Linked DNA regions of Mus musculus. The protein of the gene in region 1 interacts with the protein of each later gene in a pairwise test. Links are inferred from orthologs where the notes say so. Each region holds a gene or a part of one and is shown in the gene's direction. Other genes may lie near its edges.

What was found.
Region 2: the proteins of Eif3e (region 1) and 0610040J01Rik interact in binary tests that used the Homo sapiens proteins (3 or more experiments, as listed by UniProt). The two-hybrid records come from large-scale screens. The link is inferred for Mus musculus from reciprocal best matches to the Homo sapiens genes EIF3E and PGCKA1.

Annotation. Positions count from the first base shown.
Region 1 is NC_000081.6:43,275,715-43,280,211, reverse strand, and holds part of Eif3e (eukaryotic translation initiation factor 3 subunit E), read left to right. Parts: intron 1-1,789; coding exon 1,790-1,904; intron 1,905-4,497. UniProt on the Homo sapiens protein: Component of the eukaryotic translation initiation factor 3 (eIF-3) complex, which is required for several steps in the initiation of protein synthesis.
Region 2 is NC_000071.6:63,811,101-63,814,700, forward strand, and holds the start of 0610040J01Rik (uncharacterized protein C4orf19 homolog), read left to right. Parts: upstream 1-1,394; 5' UTR 1,395-1,495; intron 1,496-3,600. UniProt on the Homo sapiens protein: Acts as a tumor suppressor. Acts as a tumor suppressor for colorectal cancer cell proliferation by targeting KEAP1/USP17/ELK1/CDK6 axis.

The DNA of each region.
Region 1 (4,497 bases):
TGGTCTAGAACTCCCTACTCCAGAGGTCGTCCTGAGTATTAACAAATGTATACCAGCACCCCTGGCTTCACGAACTAATTCCTGAGTCATCTTTCCATCTGTGAAAGTCACTGGCCCTGTGACGGCAGTTATGAATACTGACCATCAGTGCTGATGGTTAATTTGTTGTAGTCTACCAGTTTGTTCATCCATTCTAGTACTAAACGACTGTGTACTGTAAAGATTTTTGGGAATTATACTTTAAATAGATGTACTCTTGTTTTAATATCTTACAAAGTTGGTGAGTCAAAGCATGTATGATGTCAGGAAATAAAAACCTTTTTTTCTTTTTTGGGGGGGAGGGTGGGTTTCAAGACAGGGTTTCTCTGTATAGCCCTGGCTGTCCTGGAACTCACTTTGTAGACCAGGCTGGCCTCGAACTCAGAAATTCGCCTGCCTCAGCCTCTGCCTCCCGAGTGCTGGGATTAAAGGCGTGAACCACCACGCCCGGCTTAAAAACCTTTTTTCTTAAATGACTGTGTTCTTGCTAGTAGGATTTGAATGTTCTGTTTAGTCTTCATTCACACTAAGACTGATACTCTCAGGTTTTTTGTTTTGTTTTTTTATCATAGTTTTTATATATACTTCCTTTTGATTAATGAGAGCTTATGTTGTTTTGTTCATTTGATTATCTTGATTTGTTAGTGACTATTAAGATGTTTTACCCATTTCAGTTGGATTGTCATTTGTTACTGTTTTGTTGGAGTTTTATATCTAATTTGGAACATTCACGTTTGAGTCTGTGTTACATGGTTGTGAATTCTTACTAGATCTTTCTTTCCTTTGCAAGATTAAACTCAGGACATGAGTCTTATTTGGCTAAGTATCTCTCAGGTTCCTAACATATCCTAAGTAGCCTTCATGTTTGTGAGTCTATATGTATAATGTATTTCCTGTGAGTTAATATGTGTTTCCAGAACCCTTTGCAAAGCAAAACCTTGTCATGAGGTTGTTGACTTACAAAATTGGTTCTAGTTTAATTTTAGAGGTACAGATGGAGAAGCATTTAAATGGTTGCAACTCTTAAATGAGACAAATATAAAGGTAAAGGAGTGGCCACATCAAGGAGTGGTGGGTAGTCATCATGGGGATGCAAAGGATAGTAAGGAGGTAAAATATTTAAGAGCCTATTCCTAATTACCTGGGTGTGGAGAAGAAGAGAAGGTGTGGATACTTTTGTGTATTGCATATCTTTCCTAGAACAAGTAAAAGATTGCTTGATAAAACAATAATTGAGATCAGAAGTAAATGGGAATGACATTGATTTTCAAATATTTGTGTAGACAGGATATTTTGTGTAAATTGAGTGCTTCCTATATTGGTTTCTTTTCTTTTACAGTGTGTGTGTGTGTGTGTCTGTGTCTGTGTCTGTCTGTGTCTGTATATGGACAAACTCACGCAGGTGATCCTGGGTGGTGAATCAATGCCTTTATATACATATACACTACACCAGTGTTCTTCTACTGACCTGTATATCTAGCCCTATGACGCTTTCTTTAAGTAAAAATGGTGGGTGGGGGGCCCTAGGGTGCATTGGTTAGCACAGCACATGCATGGAGGTCAGAGAACAAAGGAGCACTTTGTGAGGTCATTTCTCTTCATTTTTGTGTGGCATTCAGGGATTGAAACCTGTTCTCCTGACTTCCCAACACATACACAGACACATACTTTTTCAAAATAGTTTCGTGAAGTATGGTTTTTAAATAAACTGAAGAATTTAAATATTCATTAAGTTTTTTTTTTCTTGCAGATTTATAATGAAAAAGAATTATTACAAGGAAAATTAGATCTTCTTAGTGATACCAATATGGTGGATTTTGCTATGGATGTTTACAAAAACCTTTATTCTGATGATATCCCTCATGGTAAGTTTGTTTTTCATTTTTTATTGGTTATTTTATTTATTGATATTTTAAATGTCATCTCCCTTCCCAGTTTCCCCTCCATAAACCCCCATCCCCTCCCCCTGCCTCTATGAGGGTGCTCCCCAACCTGTCCACCCACTCTGTCTCGGCACTCCTGCATTCCCCTACCCTAGGGCATCAAGCCTCCACAGGACCAAGGGCGCTCCCCTCTCATTGATGCCAGATAAAGCAGTCCTCTGCTACATATCCAGCTGGAGCCATGGGCTACATATACCACCTGCCATGTGTACTCTTTGGTTAGTGGTTTAGTCTGTGGGAGCTTTGGAGTGGGTCTCGTTGGTTGATACTGTTGTTCTTCCTATGGGGTTGCAAACCCCTTCAGTCCTTGCCCTAACTTCTCCGTTGGGGTCCCTGTGCTAAGTCAGATGATTTGCTGCGTGCATCCTCATCTGTATTGGTCAGGCTCTGGCAGAGCCTCTCTCTCAGGGACAGCTATACCAGGGTCCTGTCAACAAGTGCTTCTTGGCAACAGCAGTGGTGTCTGGGTATGGTGTCTGCTGATGGGATGAATCCCTAAGTGGGGCACTCTTCTGGATGGCCCCTTTCTTTCAGTCTGTGTTCCACTCTTTGTCCCTGCACTTCCTTTTGACAGGAGAAATTCTGGATTAATATTTTTGAGGTGGGTGGGTGGTCCCATCACCTCATGGTAAGTTTTATTGTTAGAACTAAAACTTGACAGTAGCTGAAAATTTATGTTTTATGATACGTGGAAGAACTGTAGCCAAAGACATTTAGTGCTTGTGTTCTTAAAGTCATTGGATGAAAAGGCATAGGAAGGTTACAAAGATGCTAAGGGGTGTTTTCTTCCTGTGAAATCTGAATGGACTTTAAACATGTTGATCAGATAGATATCTTCAGATCATAGTGTGTGCCATCAAAGTGGTACTCTATGTAAAAGTTGTATTAAATTCTGTCAAAGTTGTATTCTATAGGCTGTCGGCTTAGGATTTTCTGACGCTGCTGCAATTTTTTGGTCTCAATGAGACTTCTCAAGGTGTGGTCACTAAGACTAGCATCATGAATTAGCTTGGAAGAATTCCTTAGAAACACAGATTTTACACATAGTCCAGAAGTGTTTGATTAGGAATGGCTGAGGCCCTGAAGTAAAGTTGGGAAACTATTAGGAGAGTGGTTTCCAAACTAGTTTAGTACAGGAGATAATTGTTGACAATGAAAAGAACAGAAAACTGGTCCCTGAAGTATTACAAGCTGGGTGTGGTGGTACACACCTCTAATCCCAATACCCTGGAGGCATAGGCAGGTGATTTTTCTGAGATTAAAGATAGCCTGATCTACTTATCAAGTTCCAAACCTGCCACAGTTATGTAGTGCCTTGCCTCAAAAAATACTATAGCTTCCACCTCACCCCCGCCCCACCTCCCCCTGTGCATGGAACAAATTCTGGCTACAGCAGAGTGTTCTTTGTTTAAAATTGCTATTTTTCAGTATTTGATAACAGGTTCCTCCCATCCAGCAACCCCCCTTTTTTGGATATGAGCTTGGAAGGTTTTCTGGGGTTTTTTGATTATTAACATATGTCTTAAGCACAGAGGTTTATAGAGAAATGTGTAGGGAAAGAAAAGGGCAGCCTATGTTATGCCAGAGGTGGCTCATAGAGTAAAGCGTTGGCTGCGGACGCCTTATAACCTGGATTTGCTCCCTGGAGCCTCCAGTAGAAGCGAGAACCAACCCCAGTGCTCACAGATACTCCCCATCAGTCACCCAGAGAGTAGCTACATTTAACATTCAGTTTGGAATAAAAGCAGTGACCATGTGTGGAGAAAGAAGCACTGCTCTAGGTTAAGAGGGCTATGTAATGCAGACATTGTTGAAGTCAGTTAGCCTTTTTGAATTTGTACGCAGCAACTATTTAACGTTATTTTGTGATGCAAGTAAAGGGTTTTTTTTTTTCCTGGATTTTTGTATTTTTTTAATTATGTGTATGAATGTTGGCCTGCCTGTATGTTTGTACACCGTGTGTGTGCCTGGAGCCTTAAAAGGCTAGAAGAGGGCTGAAAGGGTTTGCAGCCCCATAGGAGGAACAATATGAACTAACCAGACCCCCCAGAGCTCCCAAGGACTAAACCACCAACCAAAGAGTACACATGGTGGACTCATGGCTCCAGCTGCCTATGTAGCAGAGGATGGCCTAGTCAGTCATCAATGGGTGGAAAAGCTCTTGGTCCTGGGACGGCTCTGTGCCCCAGTGTAGAGGAATGCCAGGACCAAGAAGCAGGAGTGGGTGGGTTGGTGAGCAAGGGGAGGGGCTGGAGATTTTCAGAGGGGAAACCAGGAAAGGGGATAACATTTGAAATGTAAATAAAGAAAATAATCTAAGAAAAACAGAAAAAAATCTGAGGTATTGTGCTAATAGATATTGTGTAGATTTTATCTTTATTTTGATGGTGGTATAGTAAATAGGATCTATGGAATTTAGTTTGTGAAATTAGTTTGTTTATAGTAAAAAAAGGTCTTGACTAGATTAAAATTATAGGCTACATAGTAATAATATAAAAACCCCTTAGTGTAGTGA
Region 2 (3,600 bases), on another chromosome or scaffold:
GAAAATAAGTTCCCTGTGTACCCGTGCAAGGGGTACCCTTGTGGCTGGAGCAGGAAATAGCCAAGGACTAGTGCCGCTCGGGAATTCCCAGGTGAGTGAACACGACCTTGGAGAACCTCTCCAGATACCTTCACACACACACATACACACACACACACACACACACACACACACACACACACACACACACACCGTTGATCTGAGAATTCCCATATATACCTCCCCCCACCCCAAAATATCTTTAAACATGGCAGGCAGCATTGGAAAGCTTTGGTGATATTGTAAACAACAATCAGATGCAATTGTGTATGTAGTTCTCAACAAAACAATTACTTTAAAAGAACTTTAAATACCCAAGAGTTAAAAGAAAACTAAAGGCATTATCAAGTTTCTTACCTTCCTCTCTTTACTACTACTGAGTTGAACCTCAAAGTTTCTCCCCACTGACTCTAAAAACCCAAAACAAATTCCAAAGTCTCTTTTTGATCCGAAAAACCTAATTCATATATAAATGGACCAGTATCCCATGGAATTTCTGACAAGGCTGGAAATTGAACCTGAGCATCATTTATTCTAACAAGAAATTTTTTTCTTCAAATCAATAAATGACATTCAACAACGTATGATTTCCCTCGTAAATCGACATTTGAAAGCACAAAGGTATTTTAGCACTAAAAAGGACAAAAAAACCACTGAGTGTTCTCCCATAGAGCGTGGCAAATGCCTGTGAAGACAGCGGGGATGTCCAACTCAAAACTCGCTGGAGAAAATTAGGTCTTTGGGAAGTTCTCTCAGTTGCTTCTCCCCGCATTGCCTTTTAATCCTCTCACTGCGAGCCTTGAGCATGGAGAGGAAAGAGAGGAAGCTAGATGGCGCAATTGCTCAACACATTTTCCTGGCTTCTGGAAATGCCAGCTCTCCACAGCTTCTGGGCCAGGTGGACCGAAGACCGAAATCTTAAACCGAATTTCAAGATTAAAGCACCGGTTCTCTACCCTTCGTAGGTAAAGTGTGTTGGGTGAAGTGTCCCATATCCTGACACTCCAAGGGAAGGGGTCTGAAACCGGGGTTCTTTCACGTGTCCCACTAATAGCCTTTGGGGCACAGGCAAGTTTGTAGCCCCTAGGAACGACCGTCACTGCAGCGTCTGAGCAGATTGTCTAGCCATCGGGCGGGCGACAAGCAATGTGCGCTCGATCTAGCAACTAATGCGGGCTGGCTCGCTGACCACTCACTCAAACATAGATCACCGGACGTCCCCTTGTCCCTGTCGCCTGCGCACGCGGGCCAAGGCGCAGGTAAAGGGTTACCCTTGCCTGGGAGGCTCGCCCGCTCCCCGTCCACGTGACGCGGCGGCCCAATGACCGCAGCCCGGGCTGAGGCTGCAGCGCGACAGGCTCCGGGCGTCGCTGACCCACTCGCGTGTCCCAGCGCGGACGCCCGAGGCCCACGAAGCCATGGGCGCCGCGACTCTGGAGCCGCCGCCCCGCCGCAGGTAAGTACGGTCCGGGACTGCGCCGGGCTCCTCCGGGAAGAGGGCTGGTCCTGGGCGGGAGTCCCGACTTTGCTTCTGGGCTCCCCTTCTCTCAAGGGGACGCGAGGAGGAACTATGAGGCAAGGCAATGGATGATTTGATGACTTCAGGAGAAGTCACGGAATTCAACCTAGGCATGCTAAGAGTGGCGACAAGAAACAGGTTTCCAAACTAAAGGCGCTGGTGCTGGTTGGGTAAAATGGTTTATTTTTAAACTCCCAATTCCTGAGCTCTCTGCTGTTCCTGGGAACTTAAACCTGGACAAATTGTAAGAGATCTTCCCATCTCCCTGTGTCCCGGGGTCACCATATTTACGCTTCTAGGGGGGTTTTATTGATTAAAACGGGAAAGGAATTTGATCGCCCCCGCCCTTCTTTGAAATGTCCTTGGGTTCTGGGGTTGGGTCTATGGCGATGGTGAGGGTGCATGAAGGGACAACGACGCTGTGGTGTTCCGCAAGAGCCTGGGACTAGGAAAGTGGGCGCCAAAGAGAGAGAGCTAAATGGTCGCAGGCTGTAAATATTTAATAGACAAATATCTACCAGGTCAATCGCCTGGGTCTTTGTAGCCTGGACAGCCCTGATGAGGTGAGATTATATATATATATATATATCACCAATGCAGAATTTTCCAGTAATACCAGGCAGATATCAGGGGGACTTTTACCCACTCCCAGAACCATAATTAACCTTAAATGCAAAACAAAATAATTCCATCTCCATCGACTCTGAATGTCTACTTTTCCATCCTGGTATAGACATTTGCGCGATGAATGTAGAGGAAGTGGGTGTTCCAGGAGTCACTTCTGTGCTGGTTTCTGCGAGAGTGTTTGTTGGTTGTGGCCTGTGGCTGATTGCCTTGGGTGGCTGTAACTCAGCTATGGTGAAGAATATCGCTGGAGAAAAGAAAGTCTTGGAACCGTGAATGGAAAAGAAGTGGGAGTAGTGGTTATTTTTTAAAGGCAGTTGGTTCTGTATTTGTTGAAGTTGTTTCCTCCCACATAATTTTCCAGTTAATACTATCTTAAGGAGGATACAATAGTATTTCCCTTATACTTGTCTAGTTGATACTATTTTTAGGAAGAAATAATAGTATCTCCCATATATGTTTCCAGTTACTACTGTAAAGAGGAGATGGTAGCTCTCCTCATCTAAGCACCAGTGCCTCTGAAACACCTTGCTAGCCTCTTTGGTAAAAATCCTTGTCCTAGGACAGGTCTCCACAACAACAATATGGAGCCTCGGTCCTTTAGGAGAGTTCTGGGTTGTTAGTGTTTCTGGGAAGTATGAAGAATCAGTAAACAGCCAGCTCCAAGGCTCAGTGGGAGATTCAGAGGTGACAGGCAGACACAGGAAGGTGATGTGTGGTTCATTTCTCCTGCTCACCAACTCTTGCCCATCTTTTGATCCTGCTCCTTCACTTCTTCTACAATCAATGTTTATTTCATGCCCCCTGGGGACTCATTACCCAGGAAGGTTTTGATACCTAGTAATTTCTAAAGATAAATGTGGTTCATGTTCACTATATTCCAAAGAAATTTTGCAGACCTGGAATTTAAGATGAAACAAACGAACAAACAACAAAACAAAACAAAACAAAACCCTTGCTTACTGTCTCAGCACATTCTCTTTCCTAAAAATGGAAAGATTCCCTAACTTCTGACCCAGCACTTCTCAGAACCTGAAACCTGTGTTCTCAATGCTGGGACCAGGAGCCAGTCTCAGCCCAAGGGCAAAGCAAGCCCTGACCTCTTCCTGTCACTGGTGGAGGTGCCCAGTAGCCCACTGCCCATGTTTCTTAGAAAGGACTCCGGCTTTTTGCGTGACTGAGTACTAGCCTCCTTAGAGCTAGTTTTCCCTCCCTAGACAGTGTCTTACATGGACCCACTTCTACAATTTCCCAGGGACCCTGATTGGGCTCGTTTGGGTTCTTGCTTAAAGAACCTGTCTCATTTCTAAATTTGATCATTAGAGTGATTGTTTGGTTGCAGATAAACCCCCTTGATAATTCAGAAAAGAACGCTGTCAAGATCTAACTGGACCATCATAGGGAAGGAAGGACAGGCG